Linked DNA regions of Nothobranchius furzeri. The protein of the gene in region 1 purifies or fractionates together with the protein of each later gene. This does not show direct contact. Links are inferred from orthologs where the notes say so. Each region holds a gene or a part of one and is shown in the gene's direction. Other genes may lie near its edges.

Region 1 (3,500 bases):
CGGCAGGGAATCAAATCCTGCAGTGCCAGACGTGTTCCGCTGCTGAAGCCAGTGCATGTCCAGGCCCGTCTGAAGTTTGCCAGAGAGCACATGGATGATCCAGCAGAGGATTGGGAGAATGTCATGTGGTCAGAAGAAACCAAAGTAGAACTTTTTGGTATAAACTCAACTCGTCGTGTTTGGAGGAAGAAGAATACTGAGTTGCATCCCAAGAACACCATACCTACTGTGAAGCATGGGGGTGGGAACATCATCAGGGTATCCGCGGGTCCTTAAAAAGTCTTAAAAAGTCTTAAATTTACTTTTCCAAATTTAAGGCCTTGAAAATCCTTAAAAATGACAAATAATCCTTAAATACAGTTTGCAAAGGTTTTAAATTACCAAAGACCCAATAAACTAGATTATTTTATTTCTATGACATTTTCGTGAATTTCAGCATTTTTTTGTGTACGATGTTGGCGTAAGTGGAACCGTACACATTCAGTTGGTTGTGAAAGGGGACTATTTTTAGATGAGCACGTTAGCTGGTTAAGCTAGTGGGAGCTTGCGCCATGGAGAAGTGCAAGTTTAATGGTAACTGGATGGCTAATCCCATGTTTGCGACGTGGTTAGCACCGGTTCCAGGTAATAGCTGTAAATTATAGCTTAAAATTAATTTAAAAATAGCTTAAATTTGGATCTGGATCGAAAGGAGTCAGTTGAGGTGGTTTGGGCATCTGGTCAGGATGCCTCCTGGACACCTCCCTGGGGAGGTGTTTCGGGCATGTCCTGCCGGCAGGAGGCCCCCGGGCCGACCCAGGACACGTTGGAGAGGTTACATCTCCAATCTGGTCCGGGAACGCCTTGGGGTCCTGCCGGAGGAGCTGGTGGAGTTGGCCGGGGAGAGGACGGTCTGGAGCTCCCTAGTTGGGATGCTGCCCCCATGACCCGGACCCGGATAAGCGGAGGAAGACGACGACAAGCTTAAATTTGGTCAAAGTGGCCTTAAAAAAGGTCTTAAAAAGTCTTAAATTTGGCTCCCTTAAACCTGCAGATACACTGATCATGCTTTGGGGCTGTTTTTCTGCTAAGGGGACAGGAAGACTGATCCGTGTTGAGGACAGAATGAATGGGGCCATGTATCGTGAGATTCTGAGCCAAAACCTCCTTCCATCAGTGAGATCTTTGAAGATGAAACGTGGCTGGGTCTTCCAACACGACAATGATCCCAAACACACCGCCCGGGCAACAAAGGAGTGGCTCCGTAAGAAGCATTTGAAAGTCCTGGAGTGGCCTAGCCAGTCTCCAGACCTCAACCCCATAGAAAATCTGTGGAGGGAGTTGAAAGTCCGTGTTGCTCGGCGACAGCCCCAAAACATCACTGCTCTCGAGAAGATCTGCATGGAGGAATGGGCCAAAATACCAGCTACTGTGTGTGCAAACCTGGTAAAGACCTATAGTAATCGTTTGACCTCTGTTATTGCCAACAAAGGTTATATTACAAAGTATTTAGTTGATTTTTGTTATTGACCAAATACTTATTTTCCACCCTGATTTACAAATAAATTCTTTAAAAATCCTGCCATGTGAATTCATGGATTTTTTTTCACATTCTGTCTCTCACAGTTGAAGTGTACCTATGATGTAAATTACTGACCTCTGTCATCATTTTAAGTGGGAGAACTTAACAATCGGTGGCTGACTAAATACTTTTTTGCCCCACTGTACATACGATGTGTTTGCCTATACCTTTTTTTGCTAACTCCAAAGAAAAGGATTGGCAAAAAATGTATGATCTCACAGGGCATTTTAAAGGAAGTTCAAGGCATATTTCCCATCATTTCCAATATTTCATTATAACTATGCGTTGTTGATCACTTCGAGGGTATTAAATGTACTAATTATAGTGCCAGAAATGTGTTACAGTTTCAGACAACTAAAAAAAACTATATCAGGAAAATATTATCGTCCTCGGTTTGGGTCCTTCAAGTTAATATGAAATATCATATCATTGCAGATTAGGGAAAATGTCATCAAGCAGTAACCATTATTAAATTCATAATAATCGGGTGAGCAGTGGCGACCAACTCATCTGCGCCATGGGAGCCATAATGCATAACATCATTTTGATATGGAGGTGTCCGTGACACGGTTTAAATGCTGGCAGAGGGCGCTGCGGCTGCAGTATATAGTGACTCGTTGTATTCTCCCTCAACCAAAAGTCCTCACGTCATGCATTTAAGCTAAATTGCTAATGTTAACTTACCTTGCACTGGCTGTGGAGACGTGGGTGATGGTCACGCAGATGTGCCATCAGATTCGAAGTGTTGCTGCCTTTTGCAGACACTTGTTTCCTGCACGTTCTGCAAACGGGATAGCCGTCTTCTATTAACTGTCCCTCAGCATTTTTCAGAAATCCAAAATATGCCCATACTTCCGATTTAGTCTTCTTTGAGGGCTGATGGATGTCCTGGGCGCTGCCGTCTGCTCCTTCGGCCATTATTTCAGCTTCAAAGGTTTGGTTGCAAACTAAAAAGTGCGTGTGCGCGGGAACTTCAGCAGAAGCGACGGTGGCTGGTAAGGGTCACCGCGCCTAAACCGCGACCACGGTAAACCCACCGAGATAATTTAGTCTTTAAAAAACAGGACGGTTATTTTTATTGTCAACTTTTTTACCGGGGTTTACCGCTATACCGGTTACCGTGACAACCCTACTCCAAATCAACTTTTTTTTCTGATAAACTATATACATGCGTGTCTAATCGTGCTGCAGACACGTGCAGTCAATAGTTTTGCACTTTAGTGCATCTTAGCTAACATTTTTATTTTGTACCTAAAACTGTCAGTGTTGTGCCGTTGTCAGGTAAAAACTCTGCACTGCATTTGAATTTAAATCTGCCATCGCTATTGGCTAAGAGGTACCCTAGAACGCTAGCTGGTACCATATGATGTCACAATGCCGTTGAGAGCCTGTGTGCGTGTATTTGTTAGCGGCTCCGCCCTCTCGGTCTGCTAGGCAACAGCATTTGTTGCATTTTTCAAACAGGAAGCGGGAGTTGAGTAAGGATCTGGTAGGGGGTGACTTGCTCTTTAGGAGTTTAGAGTAAAGACCAAAGGATGTGCCTTCAGAGACATCGGCTCTTCTACAAAATCCTTGATGTTTATGTTGCTCATACTCAGAATACTGAAGTTTCATTTTAAGATTTAATCTGTGTCCTGCTGTGATTGTTGATATTATTAAACAATCACAATGTTTTTATAACATAAGTAGATGTTCCGCAGAGTTAAGATTAATCCTGTGTGTGTGCGGTTTGCTTTGTCACGTTTTCCTCAGCGGGTGCTGAGTCACCAGGATGACACGGCGCTGCTAAAAGCCTACATCGTGGAGTGGAGGAAGTTTTTTACGCAGTGTGACATCCTGCCCAAACCCTTCTGCCAGCTGGAGATCACTTTGATGGGAAAGCAAGGATGCAACAAGAAGTCCAACGTTGAGGACAGCATTGTCCGCAAAGTGAGGAGTC
Region 2 (2,847 bases), on another chromosome or scaffold:
TCAGATACGGGAACTGTCCGGTCAACACAAGCCCTGCTTTTAACTGTTCTGTTTTCTTGTGAAAATTGTTGCAAAGAGATCAAATTAAACTTGATTAACACCAGAGCCAGGCGCACTGCGCCGTTATCTCCGTCACTGTAAACGAGGGGAAAACAAATGGATCGCATTGATCTTACCTTCCCCACCTACAAAGTTTAATTCCAACAATGAAACGTGACAGAGCCTGGATTTGTATTCTGAACAGTTTAAACATGTTTTAAAAAGAAACGTATGACAAAAGTGGCACCTGCTCAGTAAAACCACCAACAGGGTGAAAAATATCAACATACTGTAGGCAGAGACGGGCTACAACTTCTGGATCCACTTTATACACCTAGTTTTATTTATTATCTTCTGTTGAAAGATAACTGACAGACACCAGTGAACGGCATTGGCTGCTGACACCTGTTGTGATCGGTTAAAGCAGCTCTCTGCTGTGGCTCCCAGTGTTTTCTTTACTGTGGGAAACAGGTAATAATGGCTCTTTGACGGGAACAGGTTGCCGACGCCTGGGTTAGGAGAAGGTAAACAAAGGCTTTGCTACTCTGAGGTAAAACAAGAATCTGAACTTGATATAGAATCAGGTTTGTCTGAGCAGGGACATGTAGAAAACATGCAGCCGGGGTTTGTGTGTGTGTGCGTGCTACTTTCACTGATGTGGCATCACCGAATGTACACCTTTTTCACCCTTGACCCGTTTTAATGTCTGCTTAGCCTATGTGTGTGTGTGTGTGTGTGTGTGTGTGTGTGTGTGTGTGTGTGTGTGTGTGTGTGTGTGTGTCTGTAAGGCTAAACTGTTGTCTTGTGACTTTACAGCGTCTTACCGAGTGCAGCAGCAAAATGACTAAGCGAAGTTCGTCTCTCCAGCTGGTCAAAAGGTATGTTTTGGTTTCAGTCTGACAGTTATCCGAGTTAATACTAGAAGTCTTAATGTTTCCAGCTTCTTCAAACCCAGACAGCAGTTAGTTCACTAACTGAGGTTTAGTTGGTGCTTTTACATGAACATTTCCAGTGTTGGATAAGTTACTTTAAAACTACATTATTCATTACTTACTAAAGCAATGCGTATTACAATATTACTGATTTTTAAATGTAAGGCATTACATTACTTTCACATTACTTTTAAGTTATTCTCACCAGGATAACTGCAAGTAAGGATTTGGCAATCTAAACGTAGCTCATGCCGCTCCATTAGTTCATTACCTCTCCAGTGGAAGGTGGTGGTATCTAGCTGAGCTGGAACTGTGAATACTGAAAAACTTCTTCCTGGATTGTCTACTTTTTCACAATATGAGCTACTTTTGAACGAAGCAGTTGAGGAATCTATCAATCGCAAAAAAGGCAAAATGCGCACTGTGCGCTCGCGGCAGTACGGTGAAATCACTGGGGCACAGGTTCTGAACTTCGAGGCAGAGCGTGTCAAGCATGAATAAAAGAGAAAGTACCGAGACAACTTGAGCGGACATGAACAATCGCAGGAGCGCCTGAATGATCGGCAGTCTCTCCGCTCAAAAGAAGTCCAGGTACGCTGAGTCCATAAATAATGTAATATCGATGGAAACTGGATCTGTGAAGAAACTCCACCACTTGATTCTGGGTTAAAAATGCATCTTAACGCGCGTTGCTGACATATGTACCAAGTAAAATACTGTCGTTTTTATTTTCTGTAATGCCTTACTGCGCTACAGGAAGAAAAATGCATTACAGTAATTGATTACTTTTGTAATGGAATACTCCAAATAGGGCTGGGCGATATGGCCTCAACTCCATATTGCGATATAATCTGAAGCATGTGCGATCATGACTGCAATATATATATATATATATATATATATATATATATATATATATATATATATTATGTCAAAATGACATGCTTTAAAAAATCCTCATATGGAAAATATATGGCAGCAGAATAAAGACGTCCAAAAAGTGTAGAATGCTCCTCCTCCTCCCGCTACATGCCTGCAGTCACTGCCATTCTGTTGTTCCAATGTTGGCGCGGGTGCACATCTTAGTGACATCGTGTGATATCGCGGTAGAGCCAAAAACTTACCATTACCCAATTTTATATCGTTTCTATCTGATATCGTGTATATTGCCCACCCCTAACTCCAAGCACGGAACATTTCCTACATACTGCAGGATGCTGAACCATCACTGCAGAGGGAACCCTGATCTTCACGAAGAACTACAGATCCAGGCTGCTGTAGCTGCTGGGGATGTGTGCACCGTTAGGAGGATGCTGGAGCGAGGATACTCTCCTCAGATACGGGACGCTAACGGCTGGACTTTGCTGCATTTCTCTGCTGCAAAAGGGAAAGAGCGATGTGTTCGGGTTTTTCTGGAACATGGAGGTGATCATATTTGCCGGGCAGCCCACTCAAATTCTGCTTTTGTAATGTTGGATTTTTCTAACTGTAGCAGCCAGTGAGTGGTCTCACAGCTGTGGGGCAGGTAGCTGTAGACATCCCAAAGCCTGTCGCACACCAGAACAAACCGCAGAGCAAACAGTCATTCCAGGACGTTTGCTTGGCAAGATACGATTTGATATTTTCCGCAACAAAAAAAGTAGAGGCATTTCTTCCGCTTCCAGCTCCGTCTCCGTTTAAAACAGGGGGCTGCCATCTTGGAATCATGTGAGCAGAGAACACTCTTTGATTGGCCATTAGAATATTTCAGCTCAGCTGGCAGCTCACGCTGTGTGCACACATTGAGTTTTTACCCCACGTGAGGCAGAAATGTTCAAACCGGTTTGATTTTCACCTCAGCGAGGTGAGGCAGAAAACCGGGCGCACACAACGAGGT
Region 3 (4,249 bases), on another chromosome or scaffold:
AACTGCATCCAAAGTTTCAAAGAACAGTCGTTTTTAGAGTTTTACTTTAAGATTTTTTGATTGGCATCTTTCCTTATTTTTTCTACAGCTATTCAAATCAAAGTTGTCCTAATATCATAAGCAAAGAAACATTAAAGTGGGTTTCCTAGAGCAGATCCTTTGCGTCTCTACATACCCGAGGCAGTCTGACAAGAACAACATATGTTTTGTTCAAATTTGCTGCCGTTAGCTCACACAGAAAACACAATGTGCATGTTTCAAAAGTGACATCTTGTATGAGAGCCCTTCTCAGTAGTTTTCAAAGACAGCCATCTGTTACCAACTCAGGGGTTCGTTTGCTGAGCAGGACAAAAGCAAACGTTAGAAAACTGATGCTGTCAATGAAATTAAGTAGTAAAAATTGGAATTCCTGCTGCTGGACAATAATGTACCTTATGGAGATACAAATAATTAAAACAAAAAGTACCACCAGATGACTGCAGTAGTGAAAAACAAACAAAGAACATTTCTTGGTCAAAACTGACATGTCAGTTACTAACTTATCAGTGATTTGATTGCTGAATGAAAGTGGTATGTTAAATGTTAATGGTACTGTTGTGTTTGGGGAGATGAATGTAAGCTGCAAAAACTGTATTAGGGAGGAGAAATCTAACTTAATATTGGAAAAAAAAATGGGTGAAATTCAAACACAAATATTATCTAAATCACAGAAACAAAAACCAGCCTATTACATTTTACCACACTAATGTTTTAAATGCCTGTTAATCATTCAAAAGAAACTTTTAAAGACCATCTTGAGCAGTTTGAAACTCCATCACCCACAGTTTAATAATGTGTCTCCAAAGTGAAAGAGACAGCATTTTACATGTTCATTCAAGTGAAATAACATTTGAAGGGTTTTAAAGCAAATTATACCAAATTATATTAGGCCATCTTTAGACTAGTGAAAATTATTTATTGTTAAAAAAAATGTTTACAGTGTTCAATTGTGTCCCGACAATAACTTTTACACATGTGAGTTGCTAGTATCAAATTTGAATAGAGAACAAGTAATTTTACTAAACATTTCTCCATATGGAAGTGGAATTAATAGCTTTGCAATTTTTTTTATCATCTTTCCTTCAAAGCCGACACCAAGTTCTACATTACAAATAAAACGTATCATAACAGCTTCTTTTTCTTTGCTTGTGTTTAATCAAATTAGCCTAATCGTCTGTTTCATCAGTGTCAGCAACATCTTTCCAAAGTTAGTGCTCAGAAACATAAATTCAACAGATCTATAGGTTCTTAGTTTGCTTCCTTTTTTATTACTAGAATGCATTGTTCCCAATTGAACGCATAGCCTTTTAGATATAAAACAACATGATTTTTATTTTATTTTATTTTATTTTATTTTATTTTATTTTATTTTATTTTACACTGCAAACCGGAACTTTAGTCATGCAGTTTAAATGGGAAGGCAATCACCGTGGGACCACAGGGGTGTTCATGTTAACTTCCTGTTTTGAAATCAAAGGCTCGTAAGTACCAGTCTGCACTGTATTATTGTAAGAGTTTTATTCATCCATTAAGTAAATTCACTTTTTTTGACAAAGATAATGTATAAATAATTAAAGCTAATAATTTAATCAGTGAAGCTTCAATTATCTGTAGTTTTAGATGTCTTATGAACGAATGAGGTAAATATGTTCACGGGGAGATAACAAAATCGACCTACTTTCTATGAACAGATAGCGTTTATTTAAGACGTTTTATTCACAATTTTTACATAATTTCTGCTCTGTTACATACTCATGGAGGTCCGCTGAACTCACGTTGTTTTTAATCCCGCTCTGTAAGTCGCGCTGACACATCTCCTTTTTGATTTTCTTTTGGATTCTGGCCACGCTAGAGTTTTGTTGGAGTGTGTACAAGTGTAAAAACCATGCCTTTCCTCCACGGGTTCCGGAGGATCATTTTTGAGTATCAGCCGCTTGTAAATGCTGTCATGCGTGTTGTTGGACTTGAGGAAGAAGATGGCAGTCAAGACACCAGGTAATTCTGCTAAAAAAAAAACAACAACATTACATTAACGGGTAATTTTTTTTATATCATGATCAGTTTCTGTATCGTAACAACCACTGCATTTAAAATATAAATTGATTTTTTTTAAAGCTTTGGATGAGACATTTACTTATCTTTCAGTTGTGCCAAAAGTCCCGAGGATGAGTCCAGTAGAAGCAGCTCTTTGGTGGAGCTTCTGGAACAAGAGTCCCAGTCTGAAGTGTTTTTGGAAGGCATCAGCTATGCTCTGTTTAAAGTGGCCGAGCGGGGACTTGAGTATGCCGCAGAAATCCTTCTACAATATGGAGCTGATATCAACTTTGAAGGTGAGTCATCCTTGGATAGTGTGTCCAAGTTTGCAAACACTCCAGGAAAAAGGAGGATTGCTCATTTAGGGATGTGCGGTAATGCACAAATATATCAAAAACTAAATTTACTGAAAATGTTTATTGAGACATAGATGCTCTTTGGTTGTTGTTACAATATTACCTTGTAGTAAGTGTTAAATGTGTGTTTTACGTGTAGATAACTTCTTCTCTTCATCTCATTGCTGCATGTCTCTGATATGGGTTTTTCTATTGCAGAATCAGATGCATGTATGTAAAGGTCATGTTTAGCCGATGGCTGATCGTTGGTCCTGATTCTTTGGGCTAATTTTCATGGCTGATATTTAGATGTTTTCCTCCTTATTTGCAAGCTAAAATTTTGTTAATAACAAGAATGGGTGTACATTTCTGAACCTAAATCAGTTTTTGAACACTGAATTTTACCAACCCATCAATTTTAATTTTGTGCATTGCACAGCATTGAAACATTTCATTATAAAACTGGTAAATCAAAATAAATGTCAGTTGTTTTAGAGCATTTATTAAGCAGATGGTTTTAGGAAATTTAAATTTAAGTAAAATAGTAAATGAATAAAATTTTAGAGTTTAAACAATTTAATAAAAGTGTTTAAAAACTCAATAATAAATGCTGCTAAAAACACAATAAGAACCTGCTGAAACACCAGCAATGTCATCAAAAATGCATTCAAACTTTTTGTATTTTACTAACTTGTTTTAACTTCATTTAAAGTATGAATGAAACATTTTTATGCACTTGACTTTGCAGCACATCATAGCAACAGACCCCTCATTTCAGAGGTTGGATATTCCTATCTGGACACATCAGTAATTTCATCAGTAAGCGTTTTTCTAAATGAGTTACTGACACAAAATGTCCATCAGTCACTTTCAACTCAAGTGTTTAATTCATTCAAAGACATCTAAACTTTTAAGTTCATAAATTATGTGTAATAAAGTTACACATCACTTACATATAACTTACCCCGCTTACACAAATAACACAGGGAAAAAGTATTAAATACATGAAGGAGGGTAACAATGTGCAAAATGGCAAAGAAAGCCAGGAGACCACCTGAAATTACAGTCAGTATTAAGAGTGAAACCTTGCCACTTTTGCTTCCAATGTGCAGTAAGTTTAACCCCTACTGCACAGTGGAAGCGTCAGTGGTGCGAAACGGCACTGCTTCAAATAAAATCCATTATTTTCAATGGAGTGTAACAAAGCAGCCGCGGTGTGGCAATTTTCAGACATGTCCCAGAAGCAGCATGTCGCACCGTCATAGTAGGATCGGGTTCTATTTTTGTGGTGAGTCGCTTCTGGGATGCATCAATTATCGCAGTTAACATAGGGCTAGACAGGAAATCAGTTTCAGTGTAAAATCCCCAGTAATTTTCTAAATAAAAGTATTGCAGTGAAGCAATTACATATTTATGAAGCTTACGTGTGACCTAACGGTTTATTTACTCAAAGCATCATTCCCAAAGTGCAGCGGTGTGTTTTCGTGGCTTTTATCCTGGCAGTGGAGAGGAACAACATAATTTATGACATCAAACAGCGATAACGACGTGATTTCCTTCTTTTTTTGTTCAATAGTGGATTGTATGCTGGTGAAGGTTCTCGGTCATCCAGGTCATGGTAATCCAAAAAGGTTCAAATGAGGGCAACTGGACTTCTTTGGTTTCTCAAAGATGTTTCACTTCTCATCTGAGGAGCTTTGTCAATTCTAACTGGAATATGGGAGAGTCAAAATTATAAGCTGTAGCTGTCTGTTGTTATTTAACGAGCCAAAACTACTCTGGGTACCCCTCCTCTTATGGTGGATTGCATTAACAAACCGTAACCTTTAAAGTCTCGAGGG
Region 4 (2,469 bases), on another chromosome or scaffold:
TAGTCTGACTCCTAAAAGCACAGCCAGCGTTACTTAACCAGCAGCGGCACACGGCCCTTCCTCCGTAGCTGCGTTTTAGCTTCCACATGCCAGCTGTGTGGAAATCACCAGTCTGGTGTGTTTACTAAGAACATAGGATTGTTGTAGCTTGTAGCGATGAAGTAAATAAAGTATTTAATGTGAATATTTCTAAAACACTAAATCAATGTAGTCATCTTCTATAAACCACTGGATGTTTGTAGTTATCATGCAGGAGTAAATCTGTAGTTCTCTAGTAAAAAAGTTACTTCAAAGTGACAAAACTCTTCTAGGAACAATTATTTATGTGTGTGTGTGTGCGTGCGTGCGTGCGTGTGTGTGTGCACATGTACTTGTGTACTTTGCCAGGGGTATGAGACCTTTGGCCATAAAATATGCTTCTCTCTTGCAGTATCTGTCTCTTCCTAGGCTTCTGCTGGAGCTGAGCCTAATGTAATCACAGAGAACTAAAACTCTGAAAGGGGAATCCAGTGGAGTAATTTATGTTATCTTAAGTTACTACTTGTTTCTCTCTTTTTTTAGTTTGATTTTTTATGTTATAATGCTAGAATTAAGTGAATTTTGTTTAAAATGTGTAGATCCAAATAGGATGCTGTAGTTCTGATTAAGTCTTACAGATAAATTAGATGTCACGTGTTCACCTAACGTAGCCTTGCTGGTTATGTAGCATGTTCTTCATTTGATCCCAGTTAGAAAGCACCAGAGACACTGAGCATACCTGTTTAATTCTGACACAATTCTCTAGTTGTAGTTAGTTTAGCTTTTAGGTGAATGTTGAACGTAAATCCACCTGCTGTCCTCTCATTTTATCACCTTTCTTCAACTTGCAGGTGTTCCTATGGAACATGGATAAGTACATGTTAATCCGGAAGCTGGAGGGGCACCACAATGATGTGGTGTCTTGTGAATTTTCACCAGATGGGGCGCTGTTGGCCACAGCCTCCTACGACACCAGGGTCATTGTGTGGGACCATCACAAGTCCACCATCCTTCTGGAGCTGGGGTGAGACGTGTGTGTGTGTGTGTGTGTGTGTGTGTGTGTGTGTGTGTGTGTGTGTGTGTGTGTGTGTGTGTGTGTGTGTGTGTGTGTGTGTGTGTGTGTGTGTGTGTGTGTGTGTGTGTGTGTGTGTGTGTGTGTGTGTGTGTGTGTGTGTGTGTGTGTGTGTGTGTGTGTGTGTGTGTGTGTGTGTGTGTGTGTGTGTGTGTAATATCCCCTGCGTGGTTAAACCTGTCTGAATACATTCCATAACAGCTTCTGTTTCCAAAACAGCACACCTATTTGCCACAAGGTCACCCTCTTAAAGGGGCAGTACATGCTGATTCTAATGAACGTGTTAATGATTGGAGATGGTTGAAGTTTTTCTTGGATGACGAGTCCAGACAGGTGAACCAACTCAACCAGTAAACACGCATTTAACCTGTCCTCCCTCTCCAGCCACCTCTTTCCTCCCCCGTCACCCATATTTGCTGGAGGGGCGAACGACCGCTGGGTCCGCAGTGTGAGCTTCTGCCCGGATGGCCGCCACATCGCTAGTATTACTGATGACAGGTGAGAGCTTCTGGGTCTGGGTTTAACGTAAGCGGTGTGTAAACTACAGGTCTGTAACCAGACTGGAGGAGGGTTTGGGTTGTTGACTCATGTTTTCTAGATGCTGCCACTCTACTCTTGTTGTCTTGCATCAGTCTCGATCCTACAGGTGGTCTTGGGATTTTCACAACTTTCCTATAAACTTGAGGATGTTTTCAGTTAAAGCTGGCACGGTGACTTGAACTGGTGTTGCGAGCTCAGAAACAAGGTTTCAGTCGTAGATGAGATCACCAGGTCAGGTTTAAAGCTGTATCGGTCCCACCCCCGACTACTATCTCTCTCTCTCTTCTCAAATGGAAGTAGAGAACATTTGGCTCTTGTTCGTCTGGTTCTGGGTCACAGCACAGTCACATGTTAGTCATTCATCACAAATTCTGCTCCAGCGAGAGAAGTTATTAAGTAAACAGCTGGGAGAGAAGCAGACGGTGGTTTGGAGTTGAGATTTTCTTAGAGCAGACGAACAAACTAAAGCTGCAGGAACAAGTTACGTCCAGAAAAAGAGAGAGCTCCAAGCAACCCTGTTGTTTGAAACGTTTACTAGTGCACCCTAGTTCACAAGTCCTGACTCGCATTGTCACATTAACAGTGACACACACACACACACACACACACACACACACACACACACACACACACACACACACACACACACACACACACACACACACACACACACACACACACACACACACACACACACACACACACACACACACACACACACACACACACACACACACACACACACACACACACACACACACACACACACACACACACACTATATTCTATGTGCTACTAGTCTTGAAGTCGGGCTGCAGCTGAACCTTTAGTGTGGGTAA
Region 5 (4,294 bases), on another chromosome or scaffold:
TGCAAATCAGCCATCTTGAATTAGGCTGGCGCCAAAAATTTATCAATTGTAGGTGTAAATGTTATACAGATCTATGGACTTCCAATAGAATTCATCCAGTGTACATGCATGTGCACACACACACACACACACACACACACAAATAGATAGAGAGAGAGTGAGAGTGAGAGAGAGAGAGAGAGAGAGAGAGAGAGAGAGAGAGAGAGAGAGAGAGAGAGAGAGAGAGATTTAGGCAAAAACAATTAGCATTAGCAATTTAGCTTGAAGTAATATTTTGCATTAAAACATTCCAAAACACACATGAGTCTTTGTTATTGGCAGATAAACGTTCTTCAGATGTACAGAAACCACTTTTTGCTAAGCTTTCTTCTGCTACCATCCTATGTGGTGTGGTGCTTGTGTTTGCTTTGCACCAAACCCCCCCTGGTGACATCAGTAGAGGAAAAGAAACACAGGGAAGTGGGAAATTAGTTATCAAGCTGTGGCTGCAGCTTTATTATTCATCAACCAAGACTTTTAATATTAGATGAAAACAGCATGAAGAACAAATTTCTTTGTGTTGAAAATCTGTTTGTGTTTATGTTTTGCATATATAATGTATTTGTCTAACGATCCTTTTGCTTAACCATGACAGGGAGGAGACCAGGACGTTGTGAAAATTGAAATACTTTTGAAAATATGGACTCCGGATAAACGGACAAAAAGGGACGGATGGATGGATGGGATTCCAGGTCTATGATCAGCCTTGAGGTTCGTTTTGGATATCATACAGTCATGGTGCTCCATTCTTGGGTCTTTCACATGGATACAAACTGTTTATACTGCTGATTTTGTCCACATACCTGTCTCAGACTTCTTTATTTAACGCATCCCTGTATATTCCACATCCTTTTTGGGATTTTAACATGTAATTCGTAAGGCCACTAACATGTTTGCGCACATCTCAGAATGCAACTCAAAATCACATGAGATCACAAGCCCTAATCTCCTAATAAGGAGATAGTCTCTGATTATTATGAGATAATTAAATCATGAGGAGGAGTATACATTTGTAATCAAAGTGGTGGGAATGGGCTTCCATACTTGGTTCCTATTGAAAGAAGCAGTACTGAAACCAAATGAACTTAAAGTTTCAACAAAACTTATGTGGATGTTCACAAAACTGTAAGCATATTTTACATTATCATCACTTTATAATTAGGTTGCATATCTACTTATCAACAAATTGCAAACAAACAAGTGTATTGTTATTCTTTTTAAGATGATGTTAAGGCTTTTTTTTTAGATGAATGCATGTGTTTGTTTTTAGATGTGATATGTGAACGCTGCAGCTGATTCGCTGCATGTGAACGCGTCCTCTGATTCAGCTCCCACAATTCAACAGGCAACAAAGGAAGAAAGGAAGGGGCCGAAAGCTACAAAGAGTTAGCCAGCCTAGATTAAAAGATGTCACATTAATGAGCAACTGTAGTCGTCTAAATACTCCCGTGATGAAAGGAAACTAAAAATTCACCCATGCTGACTCTTTTATATTTTTGTTTTTGGTACAAAAGCGGACTTAAATGGCAGCGGCGCTAATGTTTTCCACATAAAACGCCAACGAAGCTAGGCTAACATTAGCCAACAATCGTCCAGGAGCGAATCTTTATACGAACGTGTTTTTAAAAGAGTCCAGAATAAAGTATTTGGTTTATTCTCCCTGCAGTACAGCGTAAAGTGGCCAGGTAAGCGAAAGTGTCCTGCACTTTTTGTACGTGTTTAGAGAATAAAAATCACTTTTGTAGTGGGTTAGCTTGACAGTTTTAGCTTAGCAGTCGCCTAGCTAGAAATCTGTTATAATAAGCGGCTTTGTGGCAGAGAACTGCTTGTTTAAGAAAAAAAAATACCAGTGCTGATGGAATATTTGTTGGAACATTTATTAATGCTTCTGTATAAGTGCAATGAAAGCAACAATGTAACGAGTGGAGCTAAGCTAAAAGCATGTGTCCCTAGGCCTTTCTAGGTCAAGTCAGACCTCCTCAACTTTGGCTTATTGACAACGTTTTTATGATTATTGTGTGCATATTTCCACAGGAGCATGTTTTAAATCTAAACTACATATATTTTAAATGAACTGGCACTTTTTTCCCAGCAGCAAATGAAAGGTGGAGGAGGTGGAATTTGACCCAACCAACTGAGTCACCATTTTCTCCCAGATAATGGTGAGTAATCAGATTGCAGCCCTCTTGATTATCAAGCAGCTTCGGTTAGGAGCTTCATGTGCCAGATGTCCCTCAGTACTATGGCCCTGCTTTATTAGGGCAAAGTGTCAGATAAACTGTGGAATTAATTTGTCTTTAGGACATTTGCGTGTGACATATTTGGCTCTGTAGTTGTCATGTGGCTTTAATAGGAACGTTTAGTTATGTTTACATATCTGTCTGTATTGCTGAGCCAGTATGGGATGTATATAAGGTCAGTGGTGAGCTGAGATCAACCAAAAGATCTAGAATTTTCTCAAATTTCTCCATTTACATACAAAGATTCTGCCTGTACAACTAGCATCTTGTCTTGGTGAGAACAGCGGATTAGGTCAACTGGTGCTAAATATTATGTATGAATGCCTCTAAATTAATTAAAAAAAAATAAACATGCAAGACAGCGGCATTGCTGCATATTTCTTCAACTGTGGTTGAACTTCTGAACATAATTTCTTGTGTAATAGTCACAAGATGCTCTTGCGCTGTCATGTGGGATCCTTTGAAACATCTCTGAAAATGTTTGAGCTGCTGTTATTGTGTTTTAAAAGCTTCTAAAACAGGTAAATAAATTTTAAAAATACCATTTTGCATTTGAGGTGATAATTTATATCAGTTTACAACCATTTTGTTGAACTTTTCTTGGTTAGGGTGCAGTGTTTTTAATTTCTGATGAATCTTTTACGTCAGCATAATAGAAAAATTGAAGTAATTTCATGTTTGCATGAAAGATGCAATAATTACTTGACATATGTGCGTCCAGGAATCACTGCATGACCAAAAACCAGCTTGCCAGTTTCATTTTTAGTAATTGTCTTTTAACCAGGTGATCAAATATTTCACTGTTTGGAGTTTTGATCAGTGCTTGTACTTTTGAATGGTCCTAAATATGGATGTCGAATATTATCAACTGCTGTTGACATTGAAATACAATATTGTAAATTATCTATCGGTTTTTACTCTTTTAATGAGTTTAGATGTCATGCACGCATTATATAGCAAACTCTTCAGCTACTTTTCCTCATTCAAAATGTCAAAATATGACAGGTCTGAGGTTTAGCAATCTTTTTGTTTGTTTGGCACAACTTTGAAGAAGTAGAAATTTGTTGTGTGCATTTGTCAGGATTATCTCAGGGAAAATGTGATTCAGCTGGCCATTGCCCAACTTAAATCGAAGTAGTTGTCATATTTTGCAATGGTAATGTTTAAAGTTTAAGTATGCATGATAGAAGATATGTGATGTTATTTACCTTAAATGATTGTTTTTCCTTCTTTGTTGGGAGACCTTGTATATATGGCATATGGTTGACTGTATTGGTGTAACGGACAATGGTGAAAACGCCGATATCAAACATTCCTAGAGCTAATCTAATTTTTGTTCTAGTCATCTTTTTCAAACACATTAGCAACCTGATTATTTTAGGTTAACTGTTCTCAGTAAGTTCAAATATTCACATCAAAACTCATTAACTAAATTTAACAGATGGATGGATTGAAAAGCACTGTACACTGAAAAAATATTGTCACAATAAATCAGATTTATTTCATAGTCTGAAGTTTGATAAGTGCTGCGATTCCTTTAGGCGTGTCCAATCATCTCCTGCCAAACAAGCCGGGCTGAGGTCCTTTTTTATTCACCAACACTTGTAAAGGTAACAGGTAGCTGCATAGAGTAGCCAATGGGTAATAATTGCAACAAGTCCTGAGGTAAAAGTATTTTTATCTTATCTTTCAATATGATATCACATAATAAACTGTTTACAAAATTAGGAAAGGTGAAGCGAGAGCTCAGATTTTTTCCCAGCCAGATGCAAAAGTCAAACTATATAAACGACAAATCTTGCCTTAAATATATTTTAAAACTTTCATCTTTCACCCTGAACCTACTCTTAACAGAGTGTCTTTTGTCTTTTTCTCTCACCAGGGATTTATGGCGCCACTGTATGGATGACTTGTTCCATGTGGCCTGATGGGAGGACGTTGTGGATAGTGCTTTCATCAGGATACCAGGAGAGCCGTCCCATGCCCCCACTTCGGAGGGCCTGTCAGAATGAAGA
Region 6 (2,674 bases), on another chromosome or scaffold:
GAGGACTTCGCTGCCTTCGTGGGCTACTCGGTGGATGAGGCAGTAAAAGGTGAGCTCATGTTTACACCTGTGTTGTTTTAACAGTGATCCACACGTGTGTTTAATTCTGTTTACTGATGTTTTCTTTGTGAAGGAGTGTTGAGTCAAGGCTGGCAGGCAGATCCCACCACCAGGATGGTCATGCCCAAGAAGCCAGGTAGGGGGCGCTGCTGTCTTAGTCAATCTGTCTTCTTCTCCCTTGTAATCCTTGTGAGAGATTTATGGATTTTTCCCTTTAGAATGTTTAATTTTTCAGAACTTTCCAACATTTTGTCTCCTAGTTCAGATAATTTATCAAGATTTAAAAACTGTTAGAAGTTAGACGGATTCGTCCTCACTAGGGTGTAGGGAGGAGGAATTAGTCATGTACATACACAGGTTACACACACACGTGTGTGTACACATACACACGCACGCACACACACATAAACACACACACGCACACACATGTGTACACAAACACACACACGCATGCACACATACACGCACACACACACACGCACACACATGCACACACAAACACATGCGCACACACATACACATGCATGCACACACACGCACACAAACACATACACACACGCATGCACACACACATACACACGCATGCACTCACACACACATGCACACACACAGTCTCCAAGAAAATTTTGACTTTGATTTTCAGTTTCAAAATAAATTGTTATAATCAAATTTAACTCATTCACTGCCAATACTGTGTGGGCATCAGGACGAGCCCCCGCACCGTGAGAACAAACATCTCAGCTCTAAAGCTGATCTTCATCTGCATACGTCACACGTCACGTGATCAGGAAGCAGAACATCCATGTGTTAGGAGATCGTTTTGGGCCCTTGCTGTAAAAAAAGTGAGGCACGAACTGGAAAAGCTTCTGATCACAATTCAACAACGATTTATGAAAGAACGGATAACGCTCGAAACGCGCAAATTCTCCCTCATGTAACTCTGCTCCAACACACCTGATTCCAGTCGGCAGGTGATTAACAGGCTTCTGCAGAGCCTGATGAGCTGCTGCAGGTGATTCAAGCACTGAATCAGCCAACCCTGACCGAGCACGTGACCGAGCACTAAAACGTGCCGGTACTGCCCTTCGAGGCGTAGAATTGAATACCCCAGCTTTATAGTTTATAGAAAAGGTTTGTAGGTAAAACTGCTGCGAGGAATTCTGGGAAGTTTTTTACGGCTAAAGATGGAAGTTAGCGTTTGAGCTTAAAGAATTTCTTTGTTACACAGCAACCTTATTTTGTGAAAGGTTTGATGTCACAATCTCCTTCTGTGTGTGAGTAGGACTTGTGAGACCGTAGTTCTTTCACAAAAGGCATTCTGGGATTTGTAGGTTGTTGCATCTTTCCTGTTTTATTTCACTTTTTTAAAACTTTTATTTTGACATTTATTTTCCTCACAATAAGTTTTTTATTTCTCATATTTTTACAATTTTTTAAATCAGACTTTAGACATTTTTGATAGTTTGTTTAACATTTAGACTTTATTTAGATCCCAGCTGATCTCTTAGTGGCGTGTTTTTAGCGCTGCCTCTAGCGTGCTCTGTGGTTTTCTATGTGAGGTCCCTGCCTGCCCGTGTGGTACCAGACAGGTTAAACGGCTGGTTGTAACTGGAGCCTGAACATGTGGGCCGTGGCTGCAGAGTTGAAACCAAAGAGCGATGGGATGTTATCACCCCTCCACCTCCGTCTGTTCCAACAGATCCTCCTCCGGTCGCCCTGGTTCCAAACGAGCAGCAGTTGGCCAGACTCACCGACTATGTGGCCTTCCTGGAGAACTGAAGCTTCAGCTGCAGAGTTTCACCTGTTTGGTACCGAAGAAGACGGGTTTGGACGGACTCTTGGTCCATCCTGAAAGACCTGGCTCTCCCGGTGGAGAATGTTCTGGTTCACTTGGAGTTTATCGAGTCGGAGACTCGTTTTTCTCCTCTCCCTCTTGTCATGATGTGTACATTTGGGTCTGAGCTCAAAGTGTTTCTGACTGTTTTTGTTTCCAGCATAATAAACTCGTCCCTCACAAATGCTTTATTCAGGTTCAGCAGCTAAAAGTTAGCAGGAGTCCTTCCTGACCTCGTATTTAAGTTGCTGTTGATGAATAAATATTCTGCTGTTTCTAACCACTGACTGGTCGTGTCTCGCTCGGCTCAGCACGTTGACTTCACTGACACAAATGAGTCACATACAAGGCCATAAATGTGTTGGTAAGTGGATATTGGAGCTAATTATAAAACAAAATCTGATGAAGCATTGGTGTAAATACATCTGGCCACCGGCTGCTCATCACTGCCACATAGAAGGAAAATCTGTATTTTTAGTCCTCTTCAGACCGTTTGTAAGCATCGTGTCAGAGCTGGGAGAAGATGTGGTTTAGTGTTCATAACTCTAGTTACCGCCTGATATGTTTTTATAATCGCACATTTAAATGCGGACGATTTCCTTCTGCATGGATCCTTCTTAGAAATACGATAAGTAAAATGTTTTCTCGTTTATCTCCTGGTATAAATCCGTTTGATTCTAACAGCAGATCTGATCCAGGATCTGTCTGTGCTGTTCTCACAAATAGGAAGTCACTCGTGTTGAGACATGTTTTACAGCAGCTTGCCTCCAGATCTGAACT
Region 7 (4,244 bases), on another chromosome or scaffold:
GAGGGGAACCGTATCAGCCAGTTGGGCGCTAGTGGCAGTGGAGAAGGTCCGGCCCAGGATAACAACAGAGTTGCTTGTATTTTCCTGGGTCTGCTGAACAGTTGTAATCCTCTGCTCTAGTTCAAGGACTCTTCGAGTGAGGTTGAGACAGCTGTCACAGCCAGGGCTACAGGTGAGCGGAGGCATTGGGGGGGTCACGTACATCCCACACACTACCACTTCAGAAAAGTAAAAACATGTAATAAAAAACAATTGATAATTAAAACTGCACACCGAGCAGCGTTTAAAAAAGCGGTATGCAATTACTGTGCCCAATGTTTAAACGTAAAAGTGATAAAATCCGTGGAAAAAGAACAGGACCAAGTATGGAGATTTGTGGGACACCCCTGGAGAGAAATGCATTGGTGAAAACAAGTTATTGGTGGTGACATGAACACTTATGTTTGAAAGGTATGACTTGCTGCTCTAACCATGAGATGAGGACATCTCTGAGTCACCAGAGTTAAAAAAAAAAAAAAACAGATGTGATATATGCTCACCTTTTTGTCAGCATGTCTGAGAGCCAGGGCTAACTCTGTGGTGATGGTGCTCTTCCCCACGCCTCCCTTCCCTGATAACACCAGAACAACATGACGAACCTGGGACAAGTTCCCGTCTGACGTGAGGCAAAGAAAACCAAGACGTCACAATGACAAGAAACAATGAACTGAGACGAAATAATAACAACAATAAACTCTTTCATTTCACTTTGATAATTAAGAGCAAGTTAATCTTAAGGAGCTCTAGTTAGCTGAAGCTAATAAGATACTTCGACTTTTTTAGGCATAAAATTAAACAGATAATGTAAGAATTGACAAATTTCAGAAGAAATCCGGACTTATTTTGTTTCTATTTGATAAACATCCTCCACCTACCATTATTCTGTTCCATATTTTAGATTTAGGGCTAACACGAGTTCGGTAACAGAACACTTCCTGTACGTAGTCACGCACCAATCACACAGCTCATGCTGCATCTTGGCCCCGCCTTTAAAAAAATGCAACCAATAAGAAACTAGTTTTGAAAATGATAGATTCAGGTGCGTCTCATACTGTAAAATATTTAAGATTCGATGGTTGGAAGAAGAGTAATACGCTTCCGTAGATTACACACCAACTGATACTTTTTCTTAGTTTTCAGCACGATTTTATTTGAAATTCTTTTGCAGCTGATTCATCAAAGGATAACACAAATTATACGTTTAGAAATTATTTTATATCACGTTTTGTTGTGTATAAAGTGTTGTTTTGTTGTTAAAATATGTTCAGGTCAGCACATCTCACATGATGCGTCATTGAGCAGCAGACGTAAGCAATAATAAGATGTACACAAACTCCTCCCCCACAAAGGTTTCATCCAATGGGAACACAAAGGTTGTGTTTACGTCTATCCTGTGTGGAAGTGGGGCAGGGTGCTCACTGCAGCTGTCACACAGACGCACAGAAAGGCGAATGAGCTACTGCTAGACTGCATAAGAAGACCAGTTTAAGGTAAGAGCATAGACTCACAAATGTTACCATGTGCTTTAAAGTGTTTTAGGATGAAGCAGAACTTTTGCAGAACTCGCTGCAGCTGTGAAGTTGTGACTAGAAGGTACGATTCTGCAGCGGGACAGTTAAAAGTGACTACAACATCTTAAATGTTTGTGTCTTAGTTGTTATAATAAAGCTGCCTTTGAGTTTATTAAATTTATTTCCTATATCCTTGAGCACACTGACTCACCAGTGTTCTGTCCATACTCAAACCTCCAGCTGATGCATTCAGAAGATATGGGGTAAGGCTCAATTAAAATGAGACTTGCTCTAGACTGACTAATCTGAATTAATGGGCAGCCATCCACTGCACCTGTTTGTGAAGCAGCAACCAGCTGCTGTGTTCAGGACTGGAATTAACAGAAATATTTCCATCAGGTCGAGGGACAGAATGGGGTCAGTGTATGCGCCGATATGACATTTTAGGGCCGATACCAATATCCGATATTAATATCCTTGTTATGGCCGATAACCGATATACTGACACCAACGCTTCTAAAATCAGCAATTTTGTATAAAATGAAAATTATTAAAGCTGAATTTACATTATTATGTACACACACCACACACATTTACACTTCTGAGATGATTACAATCACTGTTCACACGACTAAACAATTACACGTCACCCCATCACCCTCTGAAACAGGCAAACAAATGGAGACAAGATGGAAAAACTATCGGTTGTTAATATCGGCCCGGTTTTATTTATCGAACCAATACCGATTTGTTGATGTCGATATATTGTCCATCCCTAGTTCAGCGTTTTAAAATGAATCTATTACATCTGTTAAATCTATGCAACATAGAGGTTGGTTATCAGATAAACAGAACTCTGCATTTAGTAAATTAGCTAAGATTTTTAAAAATTGATATTAGACTCAGACGTCTAAAAATGATGCCATTCCTGTTTTTTCTTTTCACTAAATAACCCAGCTGTTACACCTCTAGTGTAAAATGTGGCAGTTTGTTGAATAAGATTGGTCTTTTCTGTGATTTCTGACTTATATGTTGGGTCAAGTGACTTCCAGTAGAAAGCACTGGATTTAAAGGTTTTAGCGTGTGTGGAAGGACTTCCTGTTGCTAGCTGTGCTATATGGGAGCAGATGGCAGGAGATCCAGGACACACAGATCGTTCATGTTGACTGGCATGTCATGCAGCTTCAGCATGACTCTTTCCAGGCACCAAAACTAACAGATTTTCAAACCGACCCATTTTGAGCTGCCTGACAGGATTTTGAAATATAAAGAAAAATGTGGGCGGACACAACTGAAAAGTACAAAAAGATTTTAAAAGCCAAAGCTACCTAAAAACATTCTAATTTGATTTATTTCACAGTTTTCTAGGATCTTTCAGTGGTTCCCAAAGTTGGGGTCAGGACCCTACTGTGGGTCACCAAGAGCTATACAGGCAGTCTCGAGGTGATTTCGAGAAGTCAAAATAAAACTGAAAAACGATTACTGAAGCTATATTTCTAGCATAATTGTTACAAAAACTCCACTAACGTCTCATAAATGGATGTAAGTGAACATGAGCTGAAGCAGTTTTTATTATGCCCTGAATTATTTGACTTTTTAAGCATTTTTGTGTCGTGAAATCAAAAATATCTGGGCTCACAACTGCTATTTTCTGGGTCTGAAGTGGAAATGTTTGGGAACCACTGATCTAGATCACCGCTGACCTTAAGAAGTGCACAGCCTCCAGAATGTTTGACAGCTGGTCACCAAGTCTTGTGCCGGCTGTCCGTAGAGCTGCCATGCTGAGAAGAGGCAGAAACAGCAGAGCTCGACACGTGGCCTGGAGTGACCTGAGACAGGAGACAGATGTCCAATCCACTGACGGCGAAGAGTGTCAGAGCCAGACAGAGACACAGGTGAGACTAGAGGTGCAGAAAATCACAAATATCACTTAGATGAGCAAGAAATTGGTTCCTCTGGATGATAAGAAGTGATTAAATCTAGTGTTTTGTCGCTAGAACAGGTGAAATCATAGATGTGCTCCACAAGTAAACAGAGGAAATCACACACACACACACACAAGTAGAAACCTTTTGGAGAAAACACAAATTAATCAGAGGTTAGCACATGACGCACACGTTTAGGAATTTAAATGATGGTTTTCTCATCTCAGCCTCTCTACCGGGTACAATCTCTGGCAGAAGCTGTCCACAAAAGCCTCCCCGCTGTTGGTTGGATTACAAAAATGTTCAAAACAAACCTCACATTCTAGAACCAGTCCCTCTCCTCGCTACTAAGGATCAAGCACGGCTACATCTGAGGACTTAAAATGTGCTTTTTGTGTGAAACAGTTTAGTGACTTGGACTTGGAAGTGGAGGTGGAGGTGGACAAATGTCACACCACACCCAAGCTGGAGGCTCTACCGTGCACAGCTCCGGTGACGGGGGAGTCGTTCTGCCACTGTGTGCCGCAGGACGAGGTCGGGCGAGGCTACAGGGTCGACAGTGACTGCTCCTGTGGGGAGGAGGATCAGGGTGAGGACAGCTTTGTGAAAGAACAGACATTCACAGTCTGACCATACTGTGGAAGCTTGTGATGCTTTGTGGACGTCTGCTCTACATAACAGTCATGTTTCTTTCTGCACAAAAAACGGGTTTGTCTTTTAATGTTAAATATATAGTTTTCATATGTATTAGAAAAACTCCACCAAGTCT

The links.
Region 2: the proteins of cullin-5 (region 1) and asb7 purify together in Homo sapiens (affinity purification with mass spectrometry; 6 studies listed by BioGRID and IntAct, counting the BioPlex papers as one, with this or other methods). This does not show direct contact. The link is inferred for Nothobranchius furzeri from reciprocal best matches to the Homo sapiens genes CUL5 and ASB7.
Region 3: the proteins of cullin-5 (region 1) and asb6 purify together in Homo sapiens (affinity purification with mass spectrometry; 6 studies listed by BioGRID and IntAct, counting the BioPlex papers as one, with this or other methods). This does not show direct contact. The link is inferred for Nothobranchius furzeri from reciprocal best matches to the Homo sapiens genes CUL5 and ASB6.
Region 4: the proteins of cullin-5 (region 1) and wsb1 purify together in Homo sapiens (affinity purification with mass spectrometry; 4 studies listed by BioGRID and IntAct, counting the BioPlex papers as one, with this or other methods). This does not show direct contact. The link is inferred for Nothobranchius furzeri from reciprocal best matches to the Homo sapiens genes CUL5 and WSB1.
Region 5: the proteins of cullin-5 (region 1) and suppressor of cytokine signaling 6 purify together in Homo sapiens (affinity purification with mass spectrometry; 5 studies listed by BioGRID and IntAct, counting the BioPlex papers as one, with this or other methods). This does not show direct contact. The link is inferred for Nothobranchius furzeri from reciprocal best matches to the Homo sapiens genes CUL5 and SOCS6.
Region 6: the proteins of cullin-5 (region 1) and cops8 purify together in Homo sapiens (affinity purification with mass spectrometry; 3 studies listed by BioGRID and IntAct, with this or other methods). This does not show direct contact. The link is inferred for Nothobranchius furzeri from reciprocal best matches to the Homo sapiens genes CUL5 and COPS8.
Region 7: the proteins of cullin-5 (region 1) and spsb3b purify together in Homo sapiens (affinity purification with mass spectrometry; 4 studies listed by BioGRID and IntAct, counting the BioPlex papers as one, with this or other methods). This does not show direct contact. The link is inferred for Nothobranchius furzeri from reciprocal best matches to the Homo sapiens genes CUL5 and SPSB3.

What each region holds. Positions count from the first base shown.
Region 1 is NC_091750.1:28,001,917-28,005,416, reverse strand, and holds part of cullin-5, read left to right. Parts: intron 1-3,313; coding exon 3,314-3,490; intron 3,491-3,500. UniProt on the Homo sapiens protein: Core component of multiple cullin-5-RING E3 ubiquitin-protein ligase complexes (ECS complexes, also named CRL5 complexes), which mediate the ubiquitination and subsequent proteasomal degradation of target proteins.
Region 2 is NC_091749.1:7,481,911-7,484,757, forward strand, and holds part of asb7 (ankyrin repeat and SOCS box protein 7), read left to right. Parts: intron 1-855; coding exon 856-917; intron 918-2,184; coding exon 2,185-2,396; intron 2,397-2,847. UniProt on the Homo sapiens protein: Probable substrate-recognition component of a SCF-like ECS (Elongin-Cullin-SOCS-box protein) E3 ubiquitin-protein ligase complex which mediates the ubiquitination and subsequent proteasomal degradation of target proteins.
Region 3 is NC_091757.1:35,486,485-35,490,733, forward strand, and holds the start of asb6 (ankyrin repeat and SOCS box protein 6), read left to right. Parts: upstream 1-1,449; 5' UTR 1,450-1,520; exon of another isoform or gene 1,521-1,547; intron 1,548-1,891; 5' UTR 1,892-1,924; coding exon 1,925-2,034; intron 2,035-2,184; coding exon 2,185-2,369; intron 2,370-4,249. UniProt on the Homo sapiens protein: Probable substrate-recognition component of a SCF-like ECS (Elongin-Cullin-SOCS-box protein) E3 ubiquitin-protein ligase complex which mediates the ubiquitination and subsequent proteasomal degradation of target proteins.
Region 4 is NC_091753.1:17,149,049-17,151,517, reverse strand, and holds part of wsb1 (WD repeat and SOCS box-containing protein 1), read left to right. Parts: intron 1-869; coding exon 870-1,042; intron 1,043-1,474; coding exon 1,475-1,588; intron 1,589-2,469. UniProt on the Homo sapiens protein: Probable substrate-recognition component of a SCF-like ECS (Elongin-Cullin-SOCS-box protein) E3 ubiquitin ligase complex which mediates the ubiquitination and subsequent proteasomal degradation of target proteins.
Region 5 is NC_091747.1:53,422,716-53,427,009, forward strand, and holds the start of suppressor of cytokine signaling 6, read left to right. Parts: upstream 1-1,494; 5' UTR 1,495-1,724; intron 1,725-2,131; 5' UTR 2,132-2,201; intron 2,202-4,161; 5' UTR 4,162-4,287; coding exon 4,288-4,294. UniProt on the Homo sapiens protein: SOCS family proteins form part of a classical negative feedback system that regulates cytokine signal transduction.
Region 6 is NC_091747.1:24,680,976-24,683,649, reverse strand, and holds the end of cops8 (COP9 signalosome complex subunit 8), read left to right. Parts: coding exon 1-49; intron 50-133; coding exon 134-196; intron 197-1,759; coding exon 1,760-1,839; 3' UTR 1,840-2,174; downstream 2,175-2,674. UniProt on the Homo sapiens protein: Component of the COP9 signalosome complex (CSN), a complex involved in various cellular and developmental processes.
Region 7 is NC_091756.1:32,878,185-32,882,428, reverse strand, and holds the start of spsb3b (SPRY domain-containing SOCS box protein 3), read left to right. Parts: upstream 1-1,444; 5' UTR 1,445-1,529; intron 1,530-3,213; 5' UTR 3,214-3,277; coding exon 3,278-3,445; intron 3,446-3,880; coding exon 3,881-4,064; intron 4,065-4,244. Other genes in the region: cytosolic Fe-S cluster assembly factor nubp2, read right to left, coding at 540-655, 915-930.